2 linked regions of the Stegostoma tigrinum genome follow. The protein of the gene in region 2 interacts with the protein of the main gene of each other region in a pairwise test. Links are inferred from orthologs where the notes say so. Each region holds a gene or a part of one and is shown on either strand. Other genes may lie near its edges.

Region 1 (16,508 bases), on a different chromosome or scaffold from region 2:
ATAGAAAATGTGGTTGAGAACAAAATGTTGTGTTTTCAAGGAGGTAGATCTAGCTCATGGTTAAAAAGGACATTTTGTTGCTGGGGGAAAAGGAAGAGAGGGAGAGAAAAGGTGGTGGGTTACAGAATGGAGCTCTACGATCAGTCATCCTGAATGGCAGTACAGACTCAAGGGATCAAACGGCCTACCCTATCTTCAAACGCTTGATCGGTTAAATTTAAAATTTTTGGAATTGGTTAACTGTGGTTAGTCATAAAACGTGCATAAAGTGAAAGACATTCTTTAACAGAATATAAGTGTCTTACATGAAAAAAGATCTAAATACACACACAAATTGAGAAATAAAAACTCAAACCCATCTCCCAATTCCATCTCATCAGAAATTCAATTCTAATGAAATACTACGCTCAGTCCTTTCTCAGCTGAGAAAAAAAATTAATATATGTTTAGTTTATTTTCCTTCAACTGGGGAGATAATTTTATTACTCCTTTCAGCATCTGATGGCATGACTTTCACAATTCAGATGGCCTCAACTCTCAGTTCTAACAATATGGAATTCTGACCTGGAAGTTTCAGAAACTATAGAGATAAAACTGAAGTGACAGCTATCCTGAACTGACTTGGTGGAAACTGCCTTCCCCACTTCCTGCGGACCCACACCACCCCCCCCCCAAAAAAACATGGTTCTCCTTAGAGGAAATATTTCTTCTTCTTCTGAACTGTAAGTTTTAAAACACAGATAAAATAGAAACTGTTGGAAGAGCTCAGCAGGTCTGGTTGCACTGATGGACAGAAAATCAGAGTTAACATTTCAGGTTGAGTGACCCTTCCTCAGAACTTGACCCTTTCCAGAAATTTCTATTATCCTCTCAGATTTGTAAGCTTTAAATATTCTGTTCATAGAATCCCTACAGTATAGGAAAAGGCCACATTTGCCATGACCTCGAAAGAGCATCCCACCCAATCCTCATTTATCATGGCTGATCCAACTAGCCTACACATCCTGTGACACTTATGGACAATCCATCTAGCCTGCACATCTTTGAATTGTGGGAGGAAACCAATATAGACAGGAGAAAATATAAGCGCCACACAATCACCCAAGGCTGGAATCAAACCCGTATCCCTGGCGTTGAAAGTCAGCAGTGGTAATCACTAGGCCACTGTGGATTCCCCTTATGAAGTGATAAATCTAAACTAATTGCCTTTAAAACATTTACTCTGCTTGTCATAAACCCAACAATATCTCGTCCATTAACACTGCAGGGATCTGTACAGAACTTGATTACAATCATGCACCATGGAACTAATGGATTTAAGGTCACTATCCAAATAACTGACCAAATTCCAATTGCCTTTTTAAAAAATCCAACATTTCAAAGTGACATTAGACACCTTTCATCATACTATACAACAATTAATTTCTGAATTGTTAGACAAAGACCCCAAATTCATTCAAAACACTCGTTTAGACTTAATTTTACAAAACATCTTGGCCAATCCTTCTTTTAGTTGTGCACCTGGAATCCCAAGCAAATTTTTAAAAAAATCACGATTTGCCATGTTAAAACAACTGAATGAGTGATCTGCGTAATTCCTTATGTCAAAACCAACTGTTTAAAATAAACTCTTACTCAATTTTGCAACCGAAACATGTTAAAACGAGAAATTAGACACGAGAAACCACAATACGATTTCAAATCCTGCTACAGCCGCCCTCCTGATTCAAACTATCCAGTACCAATGCACTGTAAAAGACAGAATCCACCGTGTCAGGAACAAAGTTAATGAGAAATCTCAATCCTGATCCTTATTGGATACTTAGTTACATTCGATTGGCTGCTCACTTGCTGTGCTACAATTTAGTGTGATGAAGGGTGTGTACAGCAACGCTATTTTTGGACTTCTGAAGCCCCTAAAAACTGAAGCTTAGCTGGAAATTGTTTTAAACTATTGCCTTAGCTAAAATTTCCCGCATGTTCAGCGATTTAGAGTACAACGATACTCCTCTCCCTCCCAAAGAATATCCACGTCCCCCACCTCGAAAGAAAGCCGGGAACCGCTGACCCATTTCAGTTTCATTCCGTTTCCTGTTATAGCGTGATCTAGCCGACATTAAATCCACGAACACAAATTAGTTGAAGCTGCTGCACTGCAGTAGATTAAAAAGAGATCTTATTCAGAAACAGAAAAAAAATCGATAAAGTTTTCTAATTGAGTCAATACAGTGTGCAGCAGTCCTGACGAAGGACCCAGGCCCGAAATGTCGACTCTCCTGCCTCTGATGCTGCCTGGCCGGTATTCCTCCAGTTCCACTTTCGTCTAGTGGCTATTCTATCCAGCTCGATACAATGGAGTCATGCATTCGCTGCAACCAACGGCTTAAGAACATTAAAAGCTGGATAAGAACCGGTATTCCTTCCCCACCCAATACAAATATAGCGCGGTATCCGGAGATAAAGCAAAATAACAAACAATAAAATCGATAACGTCCGAATTAGATTAGGTCGCCAACCCCATCGGTTTTAAATAGATGTAATTATTCCTGAGCATATTCCCTAAAATGTGATGGATTCTTCTCTACACGTCTTGTTCTATTCAGTAAAGAAATAATGGGCGTGATTATTCATTACTCCTGAACATTAGGTCTGGCACAAAGGATTAGGGTGTAGATAACAAAACCATTGCGCGCAGTCCCCTTGGGGCAGCAAAAATGAAGGCGTATTAAACCAACTGAAATTTATAGCAGCCATCCAGATGTGTTCTCCCCCTCCCCCAAAATTAATGGAAGACAGGTTTTGGTTAAAGCCGAAATAAAAGGAAACGTTATTTCATCCAACTAGAACAGGATTCATATTTTCAAGATGAATCCCATCACAACGGGGCCAGAGGAAAAAAAACAGATCTACAATGGAACCACAAAATGGTGAAGCAATTTTTCATAATGCCTGGAAGACTAGCAGGCTTTACATCAGGAAATTAAGAGATGCCGCGCTGGTTCAACATACTAATATACCATGAAAACAAGGATATTCTCTCCATTTGTAGAGAATGAACGCACCTTGGGTACGGTACATTTTCATTTCAGAAACGTCCGTCCATCAATTTTCGCATTTAAAACCGATAAAACCATTATCTTCGTTTCAACAGCAATCCCATTTTCACATTTGTAACTGTGTTAATGGGACAAGAGATTCCAGCACTTGCAACTGCCACTCAAATTACAATTAAAGGATTTTTAAAAGAAATTGTCAAAAAGGTGGTCACAGCGCTACGGAGAAAACAACGACAAAGCAACGCGCTGACATACAAATCAGTAAGCTCGCCAGATATATTGCAGAAGCAAAAGAAAAACCAAATTGCAACTAGGGTAGCCATTTCTCGCTTTGCATGTATAAAGCAGCAGGTACTGGCCAACATGATTCAACTACAGCGCCACACACCTAGTGGCTTTCCAGTCCCATCCGCTACATACAATATTTTGACCTTCAGTCGGTCATATTGCCAACAGAAATAGCGAAACAAAAGCAAAAAAAAAAAAAATGCACCACGGGTCAGTTTACAGCTCTTGCATAAACTGACCTACGAGTGACAAACAATATTGCCATTCAATTATATCTGCCAGCTTTCATCATGGGATGTTTTCAAGTAGAATTTTTTTGATAATGCATTTGTGTTTTGCTTCTAGGATGTCGAGGCTACAGCAGGCAAGATAATTCTAAAATTACCTCTGACCCCAGCCCATCATCTTCCCCTGAAGAGCAAGGTAAAGATTCAGAAATCAGAACACCCATCCCTGAAGCAAATATACTGTGAAGAATCTAAACTCTTGAGTAGTCACATGGTTTAAAGTACAGAAGCACCTGGTCACCAAGGTGAGAAATGATTTCATATACATGAGGAACATGTGTTTCACCAGCAGAAAAAAATTGTCTCCCAGTTTGCAAATGTTACTGATCAAGACAAGGAGGTGCAAAGACAAACTTTCCTTGAGTAGAGAAAGGTTTTTGTAACCAGACTGACATTTCAAACCAAAAATTTTGGATACAAGTCCCAGATGCCATAGGTCTGTAGTTAAACTCAGCATTTACAGCAGGAACTAAAAATCAGGTACAAATTATTTGAACAAACCCCAAACAATTGAAAACATTTTACAGCTCCAAAACTATATTCAGACATAGCAGAAGAAATTTATACACTTCAGACCCGTCACCCACCTTCACTAAGTCAGTTATACACTACAGAATCAGACCATTTGGTCTAACTCATCCTTGCTATCAGTTTAGGATATCTGGTCTAGTCCGATTTGCCAGCATTTGGTCCATATTACTCTAAACCCTTGTTACAGACGTACCGATCCAGATGCCTTTTAAGTGTTGAAACTGTACCGGCCTCCACTACCTCATCCCATAGACACACCCTTCTGCAAGAAAATGTTGCCTCTCAGGTCCTGTTTAAATCTTTCCCCTCTCACCTTTAATCTATGTATTCTAGTTTTGGATTTTTCTACCCTGGAAAAAGACCTTGGCTTTTCACCCTATCCATGCCCCGCATTATTTTATAAGCCTCTAAGGGCCAGGGCTCCGGGTAAAAAGCCCTACCCTAATTCAGCCACTACCTACTATTCAAGCCTCCCAATCACGGCTCGTAAATCTTTTCTGTACCGTTTCAAGTTTAACAGCATTTTTTTCTATAGCAGGGAGACCAGAATTGAAGGCAGTATTCCAAAACTGGCCTAACCAATCCCCTGTACAGCCGCAACATGACGTCCAAGAACTTTTGTACTCAATGCACTGACCAATTAAGACAAGCATGCCAAATGCCTTTTTCATCTACCGGTGACTCCACTTTCAAGGAACTTCCTTCACGTTGATTGAAAATTGATCTCCCATTAACTTCAATATTGATTAACTTTATGCTCAAAGAGGAAATTCAACAGGTAGACCAATATATTTTTCAAAATAAAACTAAAGCCTATCCTTCTTTCCCAGCTTCAGGTTCTGCAGCATCAGCTGTTGCCTTCATAGTCTGACAACACCCACTGTCCACAGTAACCAAAGAACGGTCAGTTCATTGAACTTCACAAAAGGTAAAGAGCTATACAATGAGCTTTCAGGAGAATTGTTTACATGGATTTATTTTGACTTTAAAAAGAAAAATCAGATGAAAAGGAGTTGAAAGATTCTATAAAAGGAATTAAGCAAAAAGCTCCAAATATCTTCCCTATCAAGGTCAATACTGTGTAGAGCTGGAAGAACACAACAGGACAGAGGAACAGGAAAGTCGACGTTTTAGGTCAAGACCCTTCATCTCTATGAAGATATTTAAAGACTGCAGATCATTAAGATCCTTGGGCACCAAAAGGATGGGGGAAGGAAGAGAAATGTGAAAGAGATAGATAATCAGTTGTGACCTCATTAAAGAAGCAGCCACATAGCTTATTTAAATTCCTATTTCTTACGAGTGTCAAATACAGACAAAAAGTCATGAGCAAAATTTAACAAAAGACTAATCTTGGTCAATAGTTCCTCTTTGGCCTTGACAAAATGTGTATTAAAATATTCCTACAATGTAGTTAAAAGTAAATTCAACCAAATTTATTTTAGAATGTTACAAAGTATAAACAAGTAGCTATAATTACTCGAAGATCATAGTACTTAGTAAAAAGAACTTCTTACACAGGCAGGGAGTGTTAAGTACGGAAAAGTAATTTCAACAACTGCCAATATTAGCAATTTTAAATTAGAATACGACTGTCAAAAAATGTAAACAGTTGGGTGAAGGAGGACTACGATGGTTTAGTTCACTAAACATACACACACGAAAAATCAAAACTTTAACAGGTACTTTGACTCAACGGTCTCTCCCTCTCAAAAAAGGAGACATTGAATAGATTGACAACTGAAACTTAACAACATGGGAAAGGGCACGTGTGAAAATGCAGCTTCACATTCAATATAAACAGACAACCAATCAGTCAAGTTCATATTAAAAAGCGGGTATTACATATACTACTTTACTTTTTGCTGAGTTCATCCAGCTCCGCTTTGCTCTTGCCCAGTTCGATCTGCAGCTTCGCCTTTTCCCTAGCTGTCTCGTCAAGCAATCTCCGAGTGTCGGCCAACTCCGTCTCATACATGGCCTTGATGCCGGTCAGTTCACGGGTCGTCACCTCTTCCTTTTCGGAGATCTTAAGTTGCAGAACGCTATTCTCGCACTCCAAGGAGCGTACCTTGTCGATGTAAACGGCCAGGCGGTCATTGAGATTCTTCAGCTCTTCTTTCTCCTGGATTCGAGTGATCCGAGTCGGGCTCAGAGGCGTTTGGGCCCCGCTGGCCCGGGTCTGTTTCTGAGCCGGAGTAGTTGACATGGTTAAAACGCCTTGGTATTTACCCGATTAATTAAAAAAATACACTTTTACTGTTTCGTAAAAACCCGTGCTGCTAAACCCCTTTTATTCAATGAACTAGAAAATGGCGCCGTTATCATGCGGCGCTCCTCCAGGGGTATAGATGACGGAAGGAAGTAGATGCGCTGCAGGCCGGGAATTGTAGTCCGATTAAGCCGCCCTGTTTGACTCTTTGTCCGGATGTTGATGACTGGCTTCCAGAGCGACGCGTGATGTTGCCTTGCTTCGTCTAAACCCACGAATGTTCGTTGATTGTCAGTTTTGCATTTTCTGGACCCAGGATTGAAGCCGGGTGGACTACAAATCCCAGTGTGCCATACACAAAGTCCAGAACCAGACTGGTACTCGCCCCCAGCAACGATTGGCTCGTCTGCAGACAGTTAATTGTCAATCATTTGTGCTGGCGCCCACCTCCACGGCCGTCCGCGCCCCAACGGAAAGCGCGGTTTTCAAATTTTGGCGCGCGTCGACAAACCGCAACAGATATGAAGGAATTGTCTCGGGATTTAAGTGTAATTTGAGAGAGGGGTGAGGTCATTATCTGATCAAACGACTAATCTTTTTTGAAAAACTAAACATTAAGAATCGCCAGCTTCAATATATTGTATTTCCCCTTTTTACTTAAATAATGAAGTAATCCTCGTTGCCAAACAGCCCCTCTTTAATATAATCCAGAGGCTGAAATAGAAGGTTTTTAAAATTTTCTTCTACAGGAAATATTCAATTCGCCACCGATTAGTTATTTTCAGCTCACTCACTCACGTTCAGCTCCGTGATATGTAACGTATCGCCTTTCGCAAAATGTTGTTTTTTGTTTTGATTAGCGTGCTATGTACTGTATACTGCCCACTATAGCCTATACAATTATATTTGTTAGACACGAAGACAAAAGTAAAATTAACCTGAGCCTGAGTTTCCATAATTGAATTGCTCACACCTAATATACCTGTCTAAATTATCAATTGGTTAATGTATTTGATTTTTTAAAATCTTATTAATATGGAACAGAAAAACACTGAGATAATAAAATATGAGGCTGGATGAACACAGCAGGCCCAGCAGCATCTCAGGAGCACAAAAGCTGACGTTTCGGGCCTAGACCCTTCGTCAGAGAGGGGGATGGGGAGAGGGAACTGGAATAAATAGGGAGAGAGGGGGAGGCGGACCGAAGATGGAGAGAAAAGAAGATAGGTGGAGAGAGTATAGGTGGGGAGGGGATAGGTCAGTCCTGGGAAGACGGACAAGTCAAGGAGGTGGGATGAGGTTAGTAGGTAGATGGGGGTGCGGCTTGGGGTGGGAGGAAGGGATGGGTGAGAGGAAGAACAGGTTAGGGAGGCAGAGACAGGTTGGACTGGTTTTGGGATGCAGTGGGTGGGGGGGAAGAGCTGGGCTGGTTGTGTGGTGCAGTGGGGGAAGGGGAGATTTTGAAGCTGGTGAAGTCCACATTGATACCATTGGGCTGCATGGTTCCCAGGCGGAATATGAGTTGCTGTTCCTGCAACCTTCGAGTGGCATCATTGTGGCACTGCAGGAGGCCTATTGATGGACATGTCATCTAAAGAATGGGAGGGGGAGTGGAAATGGTTTGCGACTGGGAGGTGTAGTTGTTTATTGCGAACTGAGCGGAGGTGTTCTGCAAAGCGGTCCCCAAGCCTCCGCTTGGTTTCCCCAATGTAGAGGCAGCCACACCGGGTACAATGGATGCAGTATACCACATTGGCAGATGTGCAGGTGAACCTCTGCTTAATATGCAAAGTCATCTTGGGGCCTGGGATAGGGGTGAGGGAGGAGGTGTGGGGGCAAGTGTAGCATTTCCTGCGGTTGCAGGGGAAGGTGCCGGGTGTGCTGGGGTTGGAGGGCAGTGTGGAGCGAACAAGGGAGTCACGGAGAGAGTGGTCTCTCCGGAAAGCAGACAAGGGTGGGGATGGAAAAATGTCTTGGGTGGTGGGGTCGGATTGTAGAATGGATTGTAGAAATAGATTACAAAAGTCAGTTTGCTCTGAGTTTGTTCTTTTCAACCAGACTCTTCGCCCTCACTTAATCTTTCTGGAACTCTTTTCTCATTTCACGAGCCGTTGCTACAAGGTGGACTGAATAGCTTCTTACACCTAACAATTCCGTGATTATGTCTTCTCAATTTTCCCATCTCTTACACTGACTTTTTTGTGTGGAGTGGGCAGGGTGTCACCTCTGGTCTACGTAATGAAGTCAGTGATGGTAATAACTTTTCAAATCTGAAATTTGTGGCACATTAGATTTACAACATACGTCAATCTTCCTTTTAACCACAGCGATTATCTGAATAATATCTTTCGCCATATGGCTTGACTGTTGTCAGGATATAATCATGATGTAACCATTTAAATAGCAACATACGCTAAATCAAACCTCGCAACGTCAACTTTCCTGCTCCTGATGCTGCCTGGCCTGCTGTGTTCCTCCAGGTCCACAGTGTTATCTCTGACTCCGGCATGGGCTGTTCTTACGATCTTTAAATCATACCTTATTATTGTTTTCTTCATTTTCATTGCCCTTTGTCATTTGGTGCAATCTCCAATCTGTATTAGAAGTCACAACTGGCTATAGTCAACACACTTTATTTTAGCTGGTGCGCCTAATTTACTCAACCACTGAAATCCATGTTTCTCATTTACAAAATTTCACTTTTTAAAACACATCAATTGGAATAAGTTAAATTCACTTATGTAATTCCAGCAGATTGTACCAAAGTACTCAAATCATTCAAATTGAAATTAGTCTTAAATTTTGTTTATATAGAAAAAGCACAAAACTGGTAAAACAGGAGGAACACTGAAAGTTCTATCCCAAGTATCTTTTTACATTGCAACTTTGAACGATTATAAATCACCTGTGCTATGATAGACAAAAGAGAAATAAAACCAGAAATGCTAGAATAAGTTGGCAGGAGTGGAATTCCCACATGAAAGGTCACTGACCAGATATGTTAATGCTGTTTCTCCATAGATGTTCCCAGGCTACCTGAGTCAGATGCCGAGTATTTGGCTTTTGTATTAAGGAAATGAAAAATACTTTGCTTAATTTCTCAAAATGCAGATATTTTGCAGGAATTAAAACATCAAACTATGGCCTGGAATTGTAAAAAGCAAAATACATGCTCAAACTCTGAAATAAAAATATATTGCAACCTCAATTTTAAAATCTCATCCTAAGTGATCTTCCTTGTCTGAGGTGCCATATACTTGCATCACTACCACACTGGAACGAGCACTGAAGTCTTGGAGTGTGATTATAAAATCTTGAAATTGTACATATATCAATATTATTACTGGTCCAATATTTATACTTAATTACAATTTCCTGGCTTGAACTAGATGACTGACCCAGCAGTGGAAAATTAAAATATAAGCCTATCTACCATCCTCTGACAAAAAGAACAGGAAATGACATCACCAACCCAAGGAAACCTAAACAGATAAATAGAAAGCGGGACATAACACCCGCGCTTCACTGGAGGCTCACCCATGTTGTTACCTAGAAAGGTGATGAAACGTCTGAAAACGAACCTTCCAGCTCAGTGAGCAAACTCACATCCAGAACCTCAACCTGAGCTACAAATCTTCTCAAAACTCACTATTAAAATATAATTTATACATGCCAGCAAAGCAAACAGATTTTTTTTGGTTTTATTTTAACCTATCACTTTAGTTGGGCCATATGTATGTGATGCCCTTAAAAGTGTACTTGTTATGTAAAAAAATTGTATTGCAGTGCGGGGACAGCTCGGTATGACCCTTATTAAAATCAAGAGGTTCGGAAGTGGGGGAAAAAAGCAAGAAGCCATTAGATACCTAAACATTTAATGACTGAGAAATGGTGACCAAAAACAGAGCAGAAGCCACACGTTTACAATTGGTTACTTCTTAGTGGCGAGGAATTGAAACTCATCAGCTCTTTATCAACCACTGGGAAACTCTGATTTTGAAGACAGATTTCATTTTAAAAACCAATGTAGAGTTCAAACAGACCAAGTTTTTTTTTGTCTTGAGATTTCTACCTCAATTCTTGAGCATTTTATGGCCTTTGTGTATATCTAAAGACTCACTTGCCCTACCTGTACTGTAATTTACTGGGCTGAATGCATTACTTCACTACAATATGAGAACCAAAAAAAGATCAGTATACAGCACAGGAACAGGCCCTTCAGCCCACCAGACTGCATCTTCTAAACTAAAAACCTTTTACTTCTATGCTGTCCTGTATCCCTCTATTTCCTGCCTATTCATGTTTCTATCAAGAGACTTAAATGTTGCTGTTTTATCAGCCTCCTCTGTCAGTGTTCCAGGCACTTACCTCCCTCTGTGTAAACAAAAACCTGCCTCTCATCTCTCCTCCTTTAAACTTATCCCTTTTTTTTACCTCAAACCTCTGTCCTCTCGTAATTGACATTTCAACCCTGCAACAGAGACTCTGGTTACTGATTCCTATCATAATTTTGTCAACTTCTATCAGGTGGCCTCTCGCCCATTAAAGTTCAACTTATTTGTTTGTACATATTATTATTTCGTTGAAATATTTACAAAGTGCTGGCACCAACATAATATTGCAGTTTGTATGTGTTGGCCATATCTTTAAAATGTATTTGCAAAATGTCAAGGATTTAGGTGTTCCCAACAAGTAATGTAATTTTGACAAACAGCACAGAATTAATAAATCAAATCAATAATTAATAAATCAAGTGTCAGCTTCAACTTTGTTCAGCATTCATCCTTTGTATGATTCATGTAATGTAGTCCAGTATAGGTGACACACCTAGGTAAAATCAGAACAACTTAAAATGGGTGCATATCTAGGAGTCATGATTTCATTACAGTTTCCTTTGCACATGGGTTATTCCCAGAACAGCGTGGAAAAGACTTGTCCAAATATCCAGCAGTTGTCTTTAGATCAACTATCATGGGAGGAAACAACAGTTGGAAAAGAGGAGGGAAAAAAATCGCTGTCTGACCTAGTTCACTGCAATATTGGTGAGATTTTTAAAAGGAGTGTGTGGGGGGTGGGGAATAATTTGAAAGTTTAAAAAAATGCATTTGTATCAACTCCTTCAGATTAGGAAGACTGGAAAAATTGACAAGCAATTTTGTAAAAAGGTGTTAAATGTATGTCACCATCTACCACATTTCCCTTTAAACTGGAATGTTATTTACTTGATCTACTGCAACAAGGCTTAGGTTTTATTATATCTGGAGTCTCTTTTTCAAAAAAAAAGTTTTTAGCAGTTGAAATCATTGTTGCTGATTTCTCCTAAAAAGGGAATGGTTGCGAAAATGTTCACCCACTTTCTTTTGATTATAAAGTGAATCTATGGCCCTCTAGTGGTTTGAATAGTTTATATTTTGTCAATTTTATGTGGATTTTATTGCATACATGTCATTTTCTACTTGTGTAACAATAAATTCTGAAATGGAAATTTGTACACAAAAATCATTGCATTTTCCAGGAACAAAAAAAAGCTGCTGGAAAAGCTCAGCAGGTCTGGCAGCATGTGAAGAAAAAAAAAATCAGAGTTAAGGTTTCGGGTCTGGTCTTTCCTCCTCAAAGGACCCAAAAAGTAAACTGACCTTTTCTTCACATATTCTGCCAGACCTGCTGAGCTTTTGCAGCAACTTCTGTTTTTGTTCTTGACTGACAATATCCACAGTTCTTTTGAATTTTATTTTGTGGTTTCCAGCTTTGGAGAAGCTTTTGTGGCAAAAAATAATGTTTGCTTTGGATTTAGTAAAGTATTCTTTTATCAATCTTTGCCTTCTTTCTCCATGTTACTAACAGTTGCTGATGTAACTTTTTAAATCGTGTCATTAACACTTTGGTATCTCTGCTAAATAGATGTGCTGTTTGAATTGGGGTACATCAGGGACAGTATCCTGTTTTCATTGATTTCAAAACCAGCCCTAACACTGACATGTAGCACAGAAGATGTCCTTTGGTCCATCAAGTCTGTTCCAATTTATCTACATTAATCTCACTTTTCAACACTTGGCCCATAGCCTTGAATGTTATGATATTTCAAGCACACACCCAAACACTTTTCCTGAAATCTCCTCTACACCCCCTGATTTTCACCTTAAAATTACATTCCCTTGTTATTGACCCGTCAACTAAGGGGAACAGCTGCTTTCTATCATCCTGATGCACCTCAAATAGGTCTGCCCGCTCTGCATTCTCAGCTCCAAAAAGGAAAAAAACAAATCTATCCAAACTCTCTTCATAGCAAAATCCAACTGGCCAGCATGTTGGTTAATATCCTCTGCACACCCCCTAGTACAATTAAGGACAACAAAGTGTGGAGCTGGATGAACACAGCAGGCCAAGCAGCATCTCAGGAGCACAAAAGCTGACGTTTCAGGCCTAGACCCTTCATCAGAGAGGGGGATGGGGAGAGAGAACTGGAATAAATAGGGAGAGAGGGGGATGCGGACCAAAAATGGACAGAAAAGAAGATAGGTATTACAAGAGAGTTGCAGTGGGAGATAGATTCCCTGAGGTTGGTCCGGAGGGAGGAGGGTAACTTCTTCAGGTTAGGCATCCCTGCAAGAGGCTTCGCAGTGAGATTAAAGCTGTATCAGTGATAATGGGAACTGCAGATGCTGTAGAATCCAAGACAACAAAGTGTGGAGCTGGATGAACACAGCAGGCCAAGCAGCATCTCAGGAGCACAAAGTGTTCATCCAGCTCCACACTTTGTCATCTTGGATTCTATAGCATCCGCAGTTCCCATTATCACTGATATCCCTAGTACAATTACATCCTTCTTACACTGCAGTAACGAGAACGGCACTCAGTACTCCAGCTGTGAGCTAGCCAAAGTTTTGTAGAGCTCCAGCATAATCACCCTGCTCACGTACTGCATGCCATCTAATCAACCTGTTTCTATCTTCCAGTAATCTAAGCTCTTCTTTCTCACTGGTAACCACCAAACAATCTTTGTCATTTGTAAACCTACTTATCATCTCTCTCTTCCTTTTCCACTCCTGCCCCGCCCTGCCATTCTCATCTACATCATTTACATGTCATAAACAATAAGGATCCAGCACTGATCCAGTGATATTCCACAGGACACCATCATGATGGCCAGGAGAATCACACGAGTACTTTTTACTGCCCATCCATACTCTGCTACCTGTTCTCCTAACAAAGATAAATTACAGACCATAATGCTAGATTCGTTTCAGGAGTTCTCAAACTGTTTTGTCTGTGAGCACCTGTGAACATTGATCATCTACCCCTTCTGCTTTTGTTTGCCATTTCAATAAAACTCAGCAAAATTAATGGGAAGTACATAAGTACATTGTTACTTTTGATGAAATTTCAATGAGGTGATACCTGGCCCTGAGCTGAAGAGGTTCAGTCTCACATTGGACTCTACATGTAGCAGTTCCTCTGTTTTCAGCCCTGCAAGAGTTGAAAAATACACAGTCTTGCACTTTTATATTGTAAAGTAACATAAATCTTGCTTTTAAAACTACATTGCTTGTCAAGTTTATGATGAGTCATACCATGCATGTAAGAGCTGATCTGTTGTGTGACGTCACAAGTGATAGAGGCTTTTGGTCTGTTCTCTTCTATAACCTTGGCCATGGTGTTACAGTTCAGTGGCTAACATTTTGGATCAGCTTTCAACTTGAAGGATAATTGTAAGCCAATAGTGGTCTATAGACCCTGTTGAGAGCCACTGACCTACTTGAGTTTAGCTAATGTGGCACAATATTTCCAAGCTCTGCTCTTTTGATCTTGCTACCTTTGCATTTTATGCCATCAGAAGAGTCACATCAATGGTAATATAGTAGTCAGCTGCACTAAAATATGGAAAGATTAATTTCCTACTAACGTCTAGTTACATCAGTGATCTCTACATGATAACAGTGACTATATTTCAACAACTAGTGAACTGGTTATAAAGCACTTGGTGATATGCCATTCTGAATATCATGATTTAAAAGCTGTTCTATACAGAGTAGCTTGGAGACTCAAGTAGAGTGACTTGGTGGCTTTTTCAAACAGCCTGGCTGAAGATGGGACCTTCAGTGGTACAAACATGCACAATGATATTCACAGCACATCAATACCACACTTGAATATAAATGAGAGGCTGGACGAACACAGCAGGCCAAGCAGCATCTCAGGAGCACAAAAGCTGACATTTCGGGCCTAGACCCTTCATCAGAGAGGGGGATGGGGTGAGGATTCCAGAACCCTCACCCCATCCCCCTCTCTGATGAAGAGTCTAGGCCCGAAACGTCAGCTTTTGTGCTCCTGAGATGCTGCTTGGCCTGCTGTGTTCATCCAGCCTCACATTTTTATTATCTTGGATTCTCCAGCATCTGCAGTTCCCATTATCTCTAATACTACACTTGAATCCAGGTTGAGGCTAATCACTTTGGCAACACAGACTGTGGTATCTTTAAACAAAGAAAAAGGCTGTTGCCAAGTAAGATCAGTGAATTCTGTTATTAACAAGAAAGGGGAAATAAATAATGTTTGTAAAACTATATTTAAACTTCCAGCTCAATTAAACATATTGAATTTGTTTCTATGGTTAATTAATGGGAAAATGCAGAGTTTCTATGTTTGTAGATATAATGAAATTCAGAAATGTAGTAAACAATGAAGAGGAGAGCAACAAGCAACAAACTTCAGAAGAAGTTGGACTGGTAAAATTAATTCGGCAGATAAGGCAACACAAACAAAAAACAGGACAAGTTTAAAATTGGGATGTAAGAAACAGATTCAATAAAGTTTTCAGCATAAAACACAACTGTTATAAAAAGCTGGTACACCACAAATTTTCCTCTTCCTAGAAAAGCACAAACAACTCTAAGGCAAAGTAGAGAAAAGATCACAAAAACTCTACACCTGGTACTGATCTTAATACATTCTGGAACAGTTGTCAGGAGTCTTCTTGCATTTATGTGCCTTTTATGTAAGTATTTAGAAAGGGTCAGGAAATGCCATTACAATACTAAAATCAACACTTTGTGCCAATCAGCCTTTTGTCCTTTGGATCAGTGAATCATTGTCAACTGTCAAGGATTATATAATTTTCTCATGAATGTCAGTTCATAATGAACCTAAATCAATTAACTTAAAACTATCCTTGACTTCTGAACCCAAAATCTTACAGAATTTGGGATAAAAAAAAGCTACGATTCTACGGACATGTCTCTCTAAAGTTGGCTGGTCAGGTCAAGAATCATTGAATCCCTACAATGTGGAAGCAGGCCATTCAGTCCATTGAGTCCACAGTGAACTTCTGCTGAGCACCCCACCCAGACCTATCCCTGCGATCCTGCATTTCTCATGGCTAACCCACCTAAACTGCACATCCTAGACACTGAGCAATTTAGTATGGCCTAACCTGCATATCTATGCACTGTGGGAGGAAACCAGAGCACCCGGAGGAAACCTACACAGACATGGAGAAAATGTGCAAACTCCGTACAGTCGCCCATGGGTGGAAACGAACCTGGGTCCCTGGCACTGATACGCAACAGTGCGAAGCACTGAGCCACCAGGCGGCCAAAAGGTGTTTTTAAAAATGCAATCCTTTGCTTTTAGAAATCTTCCAATTATAAAGTCATGGTATTTTGCTGAAAATGTATAAAACATTGGAAGAATTAGGAGCATCAGTAGGCCATTTGGCCTCCAGCACTGCTCCTCCATTCAATAGGATCATAGGTAATCTGATTTAGGCCCCAATTCTACTTTCCTACCTATCCTCTATGTCACAGAATCCCTACAGTGCGGAAAAAGGCCATTCAGCCCATCATGTCTACACCGATCCTTTCTGCAGCATCACACTCAGCCCCTGCCTCAAATCCTATCCCTGTGACCTTGCATTTACCATGACTAACCCACCTAGCCTGCACATCCCTGGACACTATAGGGCAATTTAGCATGGACAATCCACTTAACGTGCACATCCTTGGACTCTGGGGAGGAAACCGGACCACCTATCAGACACACCCACTGACTCCATCATCAATAAAGAATTTGTCTCAGTCAGCATTAAAAATATTCAATTTTCCTCAATTGCTCTCTAGAAGAGATTTCCATAGATTA
Region 2 (15,839 bases):
ATTTACTGCCTGCAGGATTTCCCTGGAGGAGGTTTTTACAATGTGACCTTCCGGAGTGCCAAGCTTTGCGAGCGCTTCCTGGAGGTTTTCAAGGAGAAAGGAGGTGAGGGCCCCCTCTCTGTATTGACCGCTGTCCCGCTGTTTGTGATGCCAGCGCAGAGGAGCCGTATGGTGACTGTACACGTGTACAACCCGCATGTGCCAGCAGTTGATGTCCTGACCTTCCTTGGAAGGTACGTGAAGGTGGAAGGGGACCTAACTGACATCATGGACCCCTTTGACATCTGGACCAGTAAGAGGCAGGTCAAGGTGACGCTGAGGATGGGCGCGAATGCGAACGTTGTACACCCACCGTCCAGCTTCACAATCGGCGGGAGCAAGGGCTACCTGATCTATGCAGGGCAACCTAAAGTCTGTCATGCCTGTGGTAGGTCAGGTCACGTGGTGGCCGACTGCAAAGCCACCATCTGCAGGGAGAAGGGACACCTTGCAAAGGATTGCCCACAAGAGAAACGCTGCAACCTTTGCGGGGAAGCGGGCCACCTCTATAGGGCATGCCCGCGGCGGGGGACCACCTAAGCCCAGGTCGCCGGCAGGGGCAATGTGGGGCCAGGCCCCTTGAGGAGAGGAAGGCACCAGGGCCCAGCAAGGGCCCCACTAATGTGCAGGAGGGCCAGGTCGTACAGGAGGGCCCAGCCCCGCAGGATGGGCCCGAGGCCAGCAAAGCACCCCTGCAGGCTCCGCCCCCGCCCGCCAACCCGGAGTCGATGGAGGCAGCGACAGGCGACCCAGGGGAGTGGACGACGGTCCAGAAAGCAAGGAGGAAGGTGCGTCAACGAGCCCAGGAACCACAACCATCAGGCGGGAAGAGGCAGCTACAGGGGGGCTATAAGAGCTCCTCTGACGAGGGGGATTCGGAGAGGGCCCACCCGAAGCAGAAGTTAAAGATCTCGAGGGAGAAGGAAAGCAGCACCACGCTTCCAGGTGACGGGAGACGTCCTGAGGCTCCCTCCGACACCCAGTCAAGTGCCGCTGGAGCACTGGAGGGCCCCCCGGAACTTCCAGGCGGGAAGGAGGAGACAGCGCGTCCCCAGCCTGACCCAGAGCCGGACCCTCCTGCCTCCACACCCACGACGGGGGGATGCCACCCGGAAGGCAGCACGGACGGTTTCCTGAGCCCGGAGAGCATCCAGCAGTTAGCCCGGGCAATGGGAATGAAGGGACAGATGGAGGGGCTGGACCTTGGACTTGGGGAGGGTACTGCGGTCACTGCCCACAATGGGGGTACGAGGTGCGAGCATTAGTGTGCGCAGTATCAAGTCCACCACAAGATGTGTGTCCACGTTGGCCTACCTGACCACCATCAAGGCGGACCTCCTGCAGGAGTGCGGGATACGGCACCTTGGCAGGTACGGGAAATGGTCCGGTGCCTGGACCTGTGAGCCTTCGATCTGGTCGGGGGGTAACGACTGTCGCTCCTCGGGCCTGGCTATTCTGCTGCGGGGGCGCAACCTCACCATCTCTCAAGTTCAGGAGGTGGTGGGGGGGGCGCCTCCTAGTGGCTGACGTCACCTACAGGAACGCTCCCCTGAGGCTGATCAACGTGTACGCCCCAGCGGTACGGAATGAGCGGTTGGCCGTCCTGCAGCGGCTTCCACCCCTGCTGGCTACATCGAGGCCGGTCATCCTAGGCGGAGACTTCGACTGCATCATCGATGCAGATGGAAGATCCGGCGTGGGGACAGTGGGTGGCGGGAGTCAACTGGACGTCACGTCCAGATTCCTGATGGGCACGCTGAAGGACACCAAGCTGCTCAACGTCTTCAGCACCCCTGCAGACGGAGCGCAGCGGAGGTACACCTGGTCGCGGCCAGACGGGTCTATTCGCTCAAGGATAGACTTCCTGTTTGTGTCACGGGCGTTCTTGGTCAGGTCCACCGGCGTCGAGCCGGTGTTCTTCTCTGACCACTGCCTCCTGCTGGCCGACTGTCACTTACAGGACGACCAGCCGGCCGGCAAGGGGACGTGGAAGCTCAACACGACTCTGTTGACCCCAGAGAATGTCGAGGAGCTTAAGAGGGAGTACACCGGTTGCAGAACCGTGAAACCCCTCTTTCAGTCTCCGGGCGACTGGTGGGAGACGGTGAAGGAGAACATCAAGAGGTTCTTTGTCCTCAAGGGTGTTCGGAAGGCGAAACTGAGGCGGGGAAAGCTGTCGCGACTCCAGAAAAGGGTGCAGAACCTGCTCCTTCTGCAGTTGATGGGGGTCGATGTCACGGAGGACCTCCGCAAGGTGAGGGGCCAGCAAGCCTCGCTCTTCGCCGCGGAGGCCTCCCGGATAATCTTCCGGTCCAGGGTCCGCTCCGTGGAGCAGGATGAGACATGCTCACGTTTCTTCTTTCAGAAGGTGCACAAAGAGAGCTCTGTGCTTAGCCGGCTGAAGGAGGACGACGGCTCGGTGACGTTGTCTCGGCCCGACATTTTGAGGATCAGCAGATCCTTCTATGCCGGACTGTACAACACGAAGCCCACGGACAGCACGGCCTCTGAGTCATTCCTGTCGTCTATCACGGAGGTCTTAGACAACGGCACATGGGAGTGGCTGGACCGGCCGATATCCCTGGACGAGCTGACCAGAGCCTTCAAGTCCTTGGAGAGGAACAGGACTCCCGGGAGCGACGGCTTACCGGTCGAGCTGTATTTCGCTCTGTGGGACCTGGTCGGCCAGGACCTGCTGGAGGTGTACCATAGTGCGCTTCGGGCAGGGGAAATGTGCAAGTCCATGAGGAAGGGCATCATCACCCTCATTTACAAGAGGAAGGGGGAGAGGGAAGAAATTAAGAATTGGCGTCCCATTTCACTATTGAACGTGGACTACAAAATCCTGGCCAAGGTCATAGCCAACCGGGTCAGGTCTGTCCTGGAGTCGGTGATTCACCCTGACCAAACCTATGCTGTGCCGAGCAGGAAGATCGCTGAGAGCCTCGCGCTCATCAGGGATACGATCGCCTACGTACAGGACAGGTGGGTGGACACCTGCCTCGTCAGCCTGGACCAGGAGAAGGCCTTCAACAGGGTCTCTCATGCTTACATGAGGGACGTCCTCTCCAAATTGGGGTTCGGGGAGGGCATCCACAATTGGATCCGGCTGTTCTACACCAATATCGTTAGCGCAGTCTCGATCAACGGGTGGGAATCGGACAGTTTTCCCGTCAGATCTGGAGTCAGGCAGGACTGCCCGCGCTCTCTTGCCTTGTTCACGTGCTGTGTGGAGCCCTTCGCCGCATCCATCAGGAAGGACGTGAGCCTGAAGGGCGTGACTATCCCAGGCAGCGGAGGCCTTCAGGTCAAGACCTCCTTGTACATGGACGATGTCGCCGTCTTCTGCACCGATCGTCGGTCGGTGAGTAGACTATTGGACATCTGCGGCCAGTTTGAACTGGCCTCGGGTGCCAAAGTCAATAGGGGTAAGAGCGAGGTCATGTTCTTCGGGAACTGGGATGACCGCTCCTTCATCCCCTTCACCGTCAGGACAGACTACCTGAAGGTGCTGGGTGTTTGGTTTGGTGGAGCTGGGGCGTGCACTAAGACTTTGGAGGAGCGTATCACCAAATTGAAGCAGAAGCTGGGGAGGTGGACGCTCCGGTCCCTCTCCATCGCGGGTAAGAACCTTGTTGTCAGGTGCGAGGGGCTTTCGGTACTGTTGTATATGGCGCAGGCCTGGCCTATTCCCTGGACCTGCGCCGTTGCGGTCACCCGGGCCATCTTACACTTCATTTGGGGGTCGAGGATGGACCAGGTCCGCAGGGACACCATGTACAAAGACCTGGAAAATGGGGGAAAGGGCGTACTGAACGCCACCCTCGCCCTGACGGCTACCTTTGTGTGCGGCTGCATCAAGCTGTGCGTAGATCCTCAGTATGCAAACACCAAGTGTCACTACTTACTGAGGTTCTACCTGTCCCCGGTGTTGCGAAGGATGGGCCTGGCCTCGTTGCCGCGGAACGCTCCGAGTAGTTGGACCGTCGCATACCACCTGTCCTGCGTGGAGAAATTTTTGAAAGGAAACACCTTTGAGCACAAGGCCATCAGGCAGTGGTCAGCACATAGTATCCTCGAGACCCTTCGGGAAAAGGAGAGGGTGGATCCCGTCGTGTGGTTCCCCACGCAGACTGCCAAAGTTGTTTGGCAGAATGCCTCATCGCCAGAACTTTCAAACAAGCACAAGGACATTGCTTGGCTGGCGGTGAGAGGGGCTCTGCCAGTGTGATCCTTTATGCATGCCCGGAATCTCTGCGCCACCGCACGCTGCCCTCGAGGTGGCTGCGGGGGGGACAAGACTGTCGATCACCTCCTTCTGGAGTGTGCCTATGCGCAGGAGGTCTGGAGGGGGATGCAGTGGTATTTGTCGAGGTTCGTCCCGAGCAGCTCCGTGACGCGGGACTCCGTGCTCTACGGGCTGTTTCCCGGGACGCACACCGAGACCAACATCAACTGCGCCTGGAGGACCATCAATGCGGTGAAAGACGCTCTTTGGTCTGCCGCAACTTGCTGGTCTGCCACCTGAAAGAACTGACCCCGACCGAGTGTTGCAGACTGGCGCACTCCAAGATCCAGGACTACGTGCTGAGGGACGCGCTAAAGCTTGGGGCAGCTGCCGCCAAGGCGCGGTGGGGAAAGACCACGGTATGAAACCCCTCGTCCAGAATAGAAAAAAAGGGCCCTATCTGGTAACTGGGCCCAGCTGGCGCCTTTCCCAACTGGTCAGGGGGCCAACGGGGACTGTGCGGGGTGACGACTGCCGGGGTATTTTCTTTGCTTTGTTTTTTTTTCTTCTTTGTTTGTTTTTTTCCCTTTAGTTGGTGTACGTACCCCCTGGGTAACCCGGAGCGGCTTGCATGACTGGGTAGGTGTATAAATATGTTTTTTTTGTACATCTTATGAATAAAGTATATTTTTTCAAATTAAAAAAAAGTGACGAAATGTCTGAAAACTAACCTTCCAGCTCAGCGAGCAAACTCACATCCAGAACCTCAACCTGAGCTACAAATCTTCTCAAAACTCGCTGGTGTCTCTGCTCTCTGTAGTCAAAATTCACCGTAACCCCAAGGCCTCCGCCACTTCCTCTGGCACTCAGTCCATATACGCACCACATTCCATGTGAAAATGTTGCTTCTCAGGTCCCTTTTAAAAATCTTATCCCTCTACCTTAAGCCTTGAGTCTCGTTTTGAACTCACCTATCCTTGGATAAAAAAGTTTGCGATTCACCCTATTTACTTCTTTCTTGGCTTTCTAAACCTTTACAAGGTCACCCTTCAGCCTTTGACAATCCAGGGAAAACGGCCCCAGCCTATTCAGCGTCTCCCTTTTGCTCAAAGCCTCCAACCCTGGCAATATCCTTGTAAATCTTTTCCAAGCCCTTTCAAGTTTTACAACATCCTTCCTATAGCAGGGAGACCAGAATTGCACACAGTATTCCAACAGTGGCCTGTATAGCCACAATATGACATGCCAACTCCTACACTGACCAACAGAGGCAAGCGTGCCAAATGCCTCCTCCACCACCCTGTCTACCTGCGATTCCACTTTCAATGAACTATGAGACTGCACCTTAAATGTTATGAGGGTTACTGCTTCTTACAGGCAGTGTGTTCCAGATTCTGACCACCCTCATCTCCTCAAAGTCTTTTGACCCTTAACATAAATCTGTGCCCTGGGTCATTGATCGCTCCAAGGGGAGATGTTTATTCCCATACACCCTGTTTATGCTCTCAATTTCCTCTGTTCCAATGTAAACAATCACAGTCTGTCCAATCACTCTTCATAACTGAAACTTTCTAGCCCAGGCAACTTCCTGGTAAATCCCCTCTGCACCCTCTCCAGATGATTTCCTATCTCTCACTGGCATCTTCAGACATCAAGCTTGCCTCCTGAGTGGCCAGTCTCCCACCATCCACTACATGGAGGTGAGGAGTGGGACCAAAATCACAAGTCCTCTCAGGATGAGAATAACTGAAGAATTGTGCCAAAACTCAGGATAGTATTCACTTGACCTGCAAGTTAGAAGGATGAAAGCAGCTCTATCATGGGAAGCCAATAATCGCCATTCCAAAGAGGCTGCTATCCCGTCACCAAGTCACCCTTTATTTGCACGTGGAGAAATTTTTACACTGATCCAGATTTCTCACAGCCAGCTTGCAAAACAAAATTTTACCTGTCCATAACTAGGTACATGTGACAATAATAAATCAAAGCAAAAAATGCTCCACCTGGCTGAATTCGTTACAATCGCTACAGATGCAGTAGCTAAAGGAGTCTCTTCAATTAGTGACAGGCAACAAGTATCAGCATTCTCGATGAAGCTTTATAACAAAGCAAAGGAAATGAAAAGTTTCGACATCAGGAGCAGGACGACATGTGACAGCTGAAAGGACACCTAAACCTTCTGGAGGGCAGTAGACGGTATTGGCTGCCATTCCCACTCCCGCCCAGAAGGTGGTGCTGCAGTGTCACAAGGGTATGGGTGGTGGGCCCCGAGTGGGCGCACGCTGTGGGTGGGGGCGACCCCGGGAAGCAGGTACCACGGGCTGAGGCGTGGGCCACCGTCAGTACCAGGACCAAGCAGGTTCGCAGCTGAATTAACAGTAAAAAAAATGCACTGCGAGCTGCAGCTTTAAGAAGATTTCCCAGAGCAGGATTCTCAGACCTCGTGGCGCAACGGTAGCGCGTCTGACTCCAGATCAGAAGGCTGCGTGTTCGAATCACGTCGGGGTCATCGTTTTTATATAAACTACATCATCTATATATGGAATGACGTGTTTCATTACTTAAGTGCTGCATGCATTCTATACATCTCAAAATTGTTCATTGAACAGGTATTTGCCTATTTTATATTGCTCTGATTTGTTTTATTCAATTAGCTGTAGTCTCACGTTCGCCTCCTGTAGGAATTTCTCCCCCATGATAAGAACTGCAACCTCAGGATTTGGGTAACTGAAACTGGACAGAAAACTAGACCTTAGTCGCTGACTCCAGGCACTAGTTGCTGACTTTGGACAGAAAACTGAACCCTGGACATGGGCATTGGCAAGTGACACTGGTCACTGACACTGGAGTGTGATGCTGAAGTGTTATTGCTTTTTAAAGAGAGTGGTTAAAATTAAACTAAACTTAAGATTTGAGCTGCTCCAATATGGGAATGCATAGTTCATGCATTCAGAAGCAATGACTAACACAGCTCCCAAAAGACTGGAAACTAACATGGTCCAAATGACATTGGTCTACCTAGGGAAGAAGCTACTGAACAGATCAAATGACTCAGATCTGAGTTAGTTCTTCACACACGATGGAAGTGAGGGTGGAGAAGACAGGAGAGAGGGACTTAAGGAGATGTTTTGTATTGAAGAAGGGAAGCCAGCATTTGTCAACTGTTTACAATATTTTTTCTACTTTTTTTATTTTAGTAACACCTCATACTAAATTTGGTATCAAGCTGGAAAAACCTTCAAACATTCAATATGAGATGTCATTGGATCCAGACATGGTAGGGGAAATTTCACGAGGGCTGAAGAGCTGAAGAACACTCAATGATGCTGGGTCAAGCCAGCCTTCCAGCTCCCTGCTTCTTGTGCAAAAACAAAGTTGCTGGAAAAGCTCAGCAGGTCTGGCAGCATCAGTGGAGGAGAAAACAGAGTTAATGTTTCGGGTCCGGGTGACCTTTCCTCAGAACTGCTTCTGTAGTTCTTCCTGATCCCAGGTTCAATGATCATCATATGTGCCAATCTCAATGCCAGCTTAACTGTGGGATTTAAGAATGTTTGTCCATGGCTGGCATTTCAAACCAGAAACAGCATTATGTGCTATAAGACTGACATCCACTGGCTTGAAATCTGTATGGTGAAACAGACCAAACCAGCACAAGTAACAATTTATGTACATCAAGGTTCCAAAACATATAACAGCATATGACAGAAAACATCAATGCACTGACAGCTCACTACTACTGCACTCCCTTCCTGCCCAGCTGTGAGAACCACTGCACCCCAAAAACTGAATTCATTGCTGTCACAAATCTCTAATCATTGCATCTATATGTGATCCTTCAAAGAGGCTCTCTAAGGAATTCCACTGGCAGCCTAAAGGCATTCAAAGACATTTTAAAAGCCTTTTATATTCCAAAAAAGACATAATTTACTACAAATAACAAGGAAAGCGCTTGTTTATTCCAAGGGGAATTGAACATACAAAGTAATGAGTTTATACTTCAGTTATTCAGGGTACTGGTAAGACCATATATGGAGTATTGTGTAAGTATTGGTCACTTTATCTAAGGAAAGGTGTTAATGCAATGGAAAAAACTAAGACAGACAAACAGGGTGCTGAAAGAACGCAGCAAGACAGGCAGCATCTGGAGAAAAGGAGAAATACCCTTCGGGTATTATCCTTCTTCAGAAGTGGATGTGGGGTTAGGGGGAGCTGCAGATAAAGGGAGAAGTGTAGGAGGGGAGGTAGCGGAATGTTGCAGATAAGTGGACACATAGTAGGTACAGGTGAATCCAGTTGGTGGCTAGAAGGGAGGGTCAGTAGCTGGGATGAAAGGGAGGATGTGCGCTGGGTGGGAAGGTTATTTGAAATTGGAGAACTCAATTTTGAGTCTTCCACGGTACCCAGCAGAAGATAAAATGTTGTTGCTCAAATTTGTGTTCTGAGTTACTTGTGACACTGGAGGAGGCTGAGGATGGAGAGTGGGAGGGGAATGAAATGAGCGGTGACCGGGAGGTTAGGTTGGCTGTTACAGGCCAGGCGTAGATGCTTGGTGAGACAGTCTACGTGTGGTCGCTAATCAAGTTTATACCACTGTGAAACCTCTTCAAAGGATGCCCACTTTGAAGGAGTTTTCTCCTTGCCTCAGACATGAACTCAGTGAGTCCCATTTCTCGCTGCCACACCACCACACCGTTAACCCCTCTCTTTATCTGCAGCTCCTCCTACCCCCACATCCAGTCCTGAAGAAGGGTAATACCCGAAAGGTTGCCTGCTCCTTTCCTTCATATGCTGCCTGTCTTGCTGTGCTCTTCCAGCCTCCTGTTTGTCCAGCTTAGATTCCATCATTTGCAGTTTTTTGTGTGTCTCTGATGGAAGAAGCTGAGAGAAGGTTTAGCGCAGACTGCTTTGAGGAAATGAGAAGCTGTCCTGCATCCTGTGGAGCTGTGAGGAAGACAATGTGGACCATGGCCAGGATCACCCTCCTTCTTCCCGCCTGACCCGTTACCCTGGGTTACAGCCCCACCCAGTTACTCCCTCTATCCAATTGGGGAACGTGTTAGTGCGGCCCCAGGGCCAATGACGGCCCGCGTTGTTGGTGGGTGGCAGAGCGGGAGTTGTGAGGCCTAGAGGGAGCTCGAGCCGCGATGCCCGAGTATCTGCAGGACCCGTCGGTGCTGACCAAAGAGCGGTTGAAGAGTGAGCTGATCGCCCACAGCGTGCAGCTGCCGCTCGGGGACCAGCGCAAAGATGTCTACGTCCAGCTTTACCTTCAGCACCTGACGGCGCGGAACAGCGGCCGCGGCACGGACTTCTCCAGCGATGAGGAGGCGGACAGCGGACTGGGGGCAACCCGAGGCCGGGGCCGAGCAGGCAAGGTGAGAAAGCCAGGGAGTGGGTGGCCTGGGACATTAGTAAGCCCTCCATCCCTTTCTCCCCAAGTCCCCGCTCAATGTTTATGAACGCTCCATCAGAATCAGAAAGTGGCGCCAATTTACTCAACTTCCGTTCATGTGTGAAAACCAAAAACCAACTCCACAGGCGAAACTCTTCAAACATAAACGGAAAGTGATGGTGAAACTCTGCGTAGAATTTTTGTTAGAATCCCTGCAGTGTGGAAGCAGGCTATTTGGCCCCTCAAGTCCACACCGACCCTCTGAAGAGCATCCCAGTCTATACCCTGTCCCTGTATTTCCCATCCTAGATACTGTGGGCAGTTTAACATAGCAAATCCACCGAACCTGCACATCTCCACATCGCGGAGAGAAATAATGTTAGCATTTGCTGTCCACTTCAGAACTGAATCTTTTGAAGGAATACATTGACTTCTTCAGAACTTGTGACAATGTTAACTCAGTTCCTCTGTCCATAGATACCACCAGACCTGCAACATTCTCCAACATTCTTTTTGCTCCACAATTCCAGTATCTTCGCTATTTTGCTTTTATTCACACAGGTTCAGTTAATCTTTTGTTTAACTTGCCTTTCCCATTTCACAGTTAGGAAGCATACATACCCACAGCATTCAGTCCCGCTTCTCATTGCGGCACATTGACTGCAAATATCACCAACCGTGACCCAATAACTGACCCAAGTGGTGAAATCCCAGATTTCACCCATCCATGGAAAACATGGACAATGGTTGTCAGCTTCAGGACAGCTAGGCGGAAATGTCGCCATTAGTTCCAGAAGTGGAATATGAGGAACTATCTGTCATTCAGCCTGACACCCGAACATTATTGAATGTCACTCGACTATTATTCAACTAGTTAGGACTCTCCTGGTTCCATTCATATTTTTTGCCATACCCAGAGCATATTTTTCAGTTGTTTCATTTCGTGTTCCCACGTGACTCTCATTTCCTGCTCATCCATCATTTTTGTGCTCATCTCTTGTAGGCTTCTGGCTTTCATATAACCATTATGATGTCAAAATTCTCATCCTGCATTCAAGTCCTCTATGGCCTCACTGTCACATTTTAGTTATGATTTCCTTGGAGACTGACAACTTTTTCAAAGAAGGATACCTACAGAAGGAAAACTGCTGGGCAACTTTCACTGGAGTACACTGACTAAAATTGACAGAATTTAAACATTAGCAAATGAAGACTATTTCAAGTTAAAGGATGAATTACACTTCTAATAGTTGATGCTTCAAAGATGTCACATTTAGTGTAAGCATTCATGACTTCTCACATTTGACAACTATGTCATCTTCATAAGATTTTTAGAGGTAAGAATAAAAGAAGACCATTCAACCAGCTGAGTTCGCTTCTCCATTTAGGGCAATCATGGCTGATCTCATAATTCTCAACTTCACTCTCCTGCCATTTTCCCCATTACACTTGATTCCCTTACTGAATAAAAATCCAATAATGTGAGCTTTTGAATATTAATAACACAGCCTCTGCAGCTTTCTGCGGTAAGGAATTCATGGCTAGAGTTCCCTTTGAGGAAACACCCTCCCTGTATTTGTCTTAAATGGCTGACATCTGACTCCGAGATTAAGCCCTCTGACTATAGACTGTCCTACATTGGGAAACAACTTCTCTGTACCTGCCCTGTCAAGCCCACTCGCTGCCCAGTCAATGGATTTGGCTATCAAGTCACTTTTATTGGCAGTTAGATTTTGTCTACGTACATGAGATATGGTTGACCCTGTCAGGTGCATGTCTAGAGAGCCTGTCTTTTTTTCTTGTGTTATGGCAATCCCAATCTTCTTTTTCTTTTAGACTGTTTATGACTATTTCAGTGCGTGTGATACACAATTACTGTGTTGTGTCTGTTTGTAAGGCGTCCACTCAAATCAATGCCCATCTCTAAAACTGTCTCCTTATCTATGCCTCCTATGTATATTTCTATTGACTAACACTAAGTTAAAGCCGGTTCTTAATAGGTGTTGTTATTCAGCTGCAATCCTAGTTTCACTATTTATCTCATTTCTTAATGGTAAACTTCAACTGAATTTGAATCTAACAGCTGTAACCAACTGGTAGAGCTGATGAATAGTATGCTGGAGTTTTGAGAATTTTAGTAGATAAGAAATAGGAGCAGGGATAAGCCATATAACCCTTTTCCATCATTCCATGAGATCAAAGCACAACATAAAGCTCAATTCTACTTTCCCACTTTTGTTTTTTAGCTGGATCACATTTAGAAATATGGTCACTTCAGATGCAGATTGTAACTCTTTCCAGGGGAATGGCTGGACTGTTGTTCGATGTACTCCACTGTGTCTCTGACAGAAGTTTCTGGTAAAAAGCTGCATGTGATGAACTGTTGCCCAAGACCAGATGTTGTCATAATGCAGCTGGTTTTGAAATGTTACTTCCTAGTTTGAAGTTTTGCTGTGACTTGCTAAAGTTTTTACAGTTGTTGATTCCGCTAAATTACCTTCAAACTGCATTGATAAATGTTACTAACAAATTCAGTGCAAGGATATTTTGCCTTGAAGCTGCTTTGAATAAAAATTATAACTTGCCAGTAGAAGCCAACACTCACTATCTTCCTGTTTGTAGATTGAAAATTGAATTTTTTTTTGCCAGTTATCTTTCAGTAATTTCCTATTCTTTGCAACAAATGTGTAACTCCTAATCTGGGGGCAGGGCAGTACTCAAAGGCTTCCAATTATTAAATTATTGTCCTCAGCCATAAACAGCTACATTTATCCCTTCGACCATCACCTGAGCAATAAACAATTATTCAGCTACCTCGTTTGTTTCTCTTGACTCAAATTATAAGTCTGACAGCAAAATCTGGGTTTTTGACTCTATTTTTCAAAGAAGTAGACCGTCAGATTTTCTAGAAATAAAGAATTGCAGTCATTTTAACACCTGTTTTATCTTTATTGCCTGCTGAAGGTGAAAAAAGGAAACACATTTGAGGGAGTTTTAAAATTCCGAGCTAAATGACTATTTTTCATTCACAAGACATAGGTTTTGCTGGCTTGCAAGCATTTCTTGCCCATCCCTAGTTGCCCTTGTGAAGGAGGTGATGTGCTGCCTTCTTAAACTGTTGTAGTTCACGAGCTGTAAGTAACCCCACAGTGCCCTGAGAGTGAGGGAATTCAGGATTTGACCAGCGACAGTGAAGGAACGACAATATATTTCCAAGTAAGGGTGGTGAATGGCTTGGAGAGGGACCTGCAGGTGGTGGTGTTCTCATGTATCTGCTGCCCTCGTGCTTCTAGATGGAAATACTGTCTATGGATCTTTTGGTGAATTTCTAGGAGCATCTTGTAGATAGTAACACTGCTGCTACTGAGTTTCGATGGTTGAGTGAATGGATGGTTGTGGATGTGGTGCCAATGAAGTGGGCTGTTTTTGTCCTAGATGGTGTCAAGCTTCTTAAGTGTTGATGGAACTGCACCCATCCATGCAAGTGCGGAGTATTAAAACGCACACTGACTTGTGCCTTGTAGATAATGGAGAGTCAGAAAGTAAGCTACTCGCTGCATTATCCCTAGCCTCTGACCTGCTTATGGACCCTCTCTGTTCATATAATGATCCCAAATTAGTTTCTGGTCACTGGTAACTCCCAGGATATCGATAGAGGGGATTGATGATGGTAACACCAATGAATATCAAGAGTCAGTGATTAGGTTGTCTCTTATTGCAGATGGGCATTGCCTAGCATTTATGTGGTGCAAATGTTACTTGCCATTTGTCAGCTCAAGCCTGAGTATTGTCCAGATCTTGTTACATTTGAAAATTGACTGAAGGGTCTGAAGAGTCAACGAATGGTTCTAAATAATGTGCAATCAACATGCATAACGCTACTCCCCACCTTTTGATGGAGGGAAGGTCGTTGGAACACTTGAAGGTGGCTGGGCCTAGGACACTACTCTGAAGAACTCCTGCAGAGATGACCTGGAGCTGAGACGACTTACCCCAACCGTCTTCCTGTCTACAAGGTATGACTCCAACGAGCAGATGTTTTGTCCACTGCCTATTGATTCCAGTTTTGCTAGGGTTCCTTGGTTAAATACAGCCTTGATGTCAAGAGATGTCATTCCTGCCTCATCTTTGGAATTCAGCATTTTTGTCCATGTTTGAACCAAGCTGAATCGAGGTCCGAAGCTTAGTGGCCCTGGTGTTACTCAAACTGGGTGTCAGTGAGCAGGTGCTGCTGGATAGCTGTGTTGGTGGCATCTTCCATAACTTTAGTTATGATCAAGAGTAGGCTGACGGGGGATGATTGACTGGGTTGGATTTGTCCTGTTTTCGTGCACAGGCCATACCTTGGTAATTTTCCATGTTGGGTAGGTGCCAGTGTTGTAACTATACTGGAACAGCTTGGCTAGGAGTGCAGCAAGTTATGGAACACAAATCTTCAGTACTATTGTCGGAATGTTATCAGGGCCCATTTGTAGTATCTAGTGCCTCTAATCTTTTCTTGACGTCACATGGAGTGAATCAAATTGGCTGAAGACTGGTATCTATGGTGTTGGGAACCGCTGGAGGGAGTAAAGATGAATCATCCACTTGGCACTTGTGGTTAAAGATTGTTGTGAGTGCTGCAGCCTTACCTTTTGCATCAATGTATTGGGCTCTTCCAGCAGTGAAGATGGGGATATTTATGGAGCTGCTGCTCTTCCAGTGATTTGATTAATAAAACACCACCATTCACGACTGGATGTGAATGGACTGCAGAGCTTAGACCTGATCTGTTGGTTAAGACCATAAGACATAGGAGTGGAAGTAGGGCCATTCGACCCATCAAGTCCACTCTGCCATTTAAATCATGGCTGATGGGCATTTCAACTCCGCTTCCCTGCACTCTCCCCATAGCCCTTGATTCCTTCTGAGATCAAGAATTTGTCGAACTCTGCCTTGAAGACATCCAACGTCCCAGCCTCCACTGCACTCCGTGGCAATGAATCCCACAAGCCCACCACTCTCTGGCTGAAGAAATGTCGTCTCATTTCAGATTTATGTTTACCCCCTCTAATTTTAAGGCTGTGCCCACGGGTCCTAGTCTCCCTGCCTAACGGAAACAACTTCCTAGCGTCCACCCCTTCTAACCCATACTGGTTGCGTATCATTTTGCTTTTTCTCTCACTTTCTGCTTATGCTGTTACACCTCATTTTGAGGTATGTCGGTACTGCTCTTGGCATGCCCTCCTGCATTCTCCATTGAACCACAGTTGTTCCTCTGGCTTAACACTAATGGTTGACTGGAGGAAATGCCAGGCCATGAGGTTACAGCTTCTGTTGGGATACAATTCTGCTGCAGTTGATAGCCCAAAGCACTTCATGGATGCCCATTCTTGAGTTGCTAGAACAGTTTGAAGGTTGTCCCATTTAGCAAGGTAATAGTGCTAAACAGCACCTTTGTAGATTATTCTCAATGTGAGGGTGGAACATCGTCTCTACAAGGACTGTGCAGTGATCGCTTTTACTGATACTGTCTTGGACGGATATCTCTGCAGCTGACAGATTGATAGTTTTCTTTCCCCTCTCGTTGGTTCCCTAGCCACCTGCCACAGACTCTGTCTACCAGCTGTGTCCTTTAGAACCCGATCAGCTTGATCACACGTGCTGCTGACAAATTGCTCTTGGTGTCGACGTTGAAACCCCCCACTCAGAGTACGTTTTGCACACATACCACCCTCAGTGCTTCTTCCAAGTAGTGTTCGACCTGGAAGTGAACTGATTCATCAACAGAGTGAATACAATACTGGTGATCAACATAAGGTTTCTTTTCCCATGTTTAACCTGAAGCTATGAGCCCTAATGGGTCTGGAGTCTTTGTTGAGGACTCTCAGGGCCTCCTTTCTGACGAAATACTTCTGTACCACCACCTCTGCCAGGTCTGTCCTGCTTGTGGGACAGGACATATCCAGGGATGGTAATTGTCTGTTATGTCTCCATGAGTATGACTGTCAGGCCGTTGCTTCAGAGATAATGGGAACTGCAGATGCTGGAGAATCCGAGACAACAAAGTGTGGAGCTGGATGAACACAGCAGGCCAAGCAGCACCTTAGGAGCACAATGCCAACGTTTCAGGCCTAGACCCTTCAGCAGAAAAAGGGTCTAGTCCCGAAACGTCAGCTTTTGTGCTCCGAAGATGCTGCT

What was found.
Region 1: the proteins of lamina-associated polypeptide 2, isoforms beta/delta/epsilon/gamma-like (region 2) and lmnb2 interact in a two-hybrid assay, tested with the Homo sapiens proteins (2 studies listed by BioGRID, with this or other methods). The link is inferred for Stegostoma tigrinum from reciprocal best matches to the Homo sapiens genes TMPO and LMNB2.

The regions. Positions count from the first base shown.
Region 1 is NC_081383.1:27,589,582-27,606,089, forward strand, and holds the start of lmnb2 (lamin-B2), read right to left. Parts: upstream 6,526-16,508; 5' UTR 6,372-6,525; coding exon 6,022-6,371; exon of another isoform or gene 4,993-6,021; intron 3,877-4,992; exon of another isoform or gene 3,690-3,876; intron 3,094-3,689; exon of another isoform or gene 3,085-3,093; coding exon of another isoform or gene 3,063-3,084; exon of another isoform or gene 2,728-3,062; intron 2,160-2,727; exon of another isoform or gene 2,118-2,159; coding exon of another isoform or gene 2,042-2,117; intron 1-2,041. UniProt on the Homo sapiens protein: Lamins are intermediate filament proteins that assemble into a filamentous meshwork, and which constitute the major components of the nuclear lamina, a fibrous layer on the nucleoplasmic side of the inner nuclear membrane.
Region 2 is NC_081378.1:53,056,242-53,072,080, forward strand, and holds the start of lamina-associated polypeptide 2, isoforms beta/delta/epsilon/gamma-like, read left to right. Parts: upstream 1-9,343; 5' UTR 9,344-9,411; coding exon 9,412-9,642; intron 9,643-15,839. UniProt on the Homo sapiens protein: May help direct the assembly of the nuclear lamina and thereby help maintain the structural organization of the nuclear envelope. Possible receptor for attachment of lamin filaments to the inner nuclear membrane.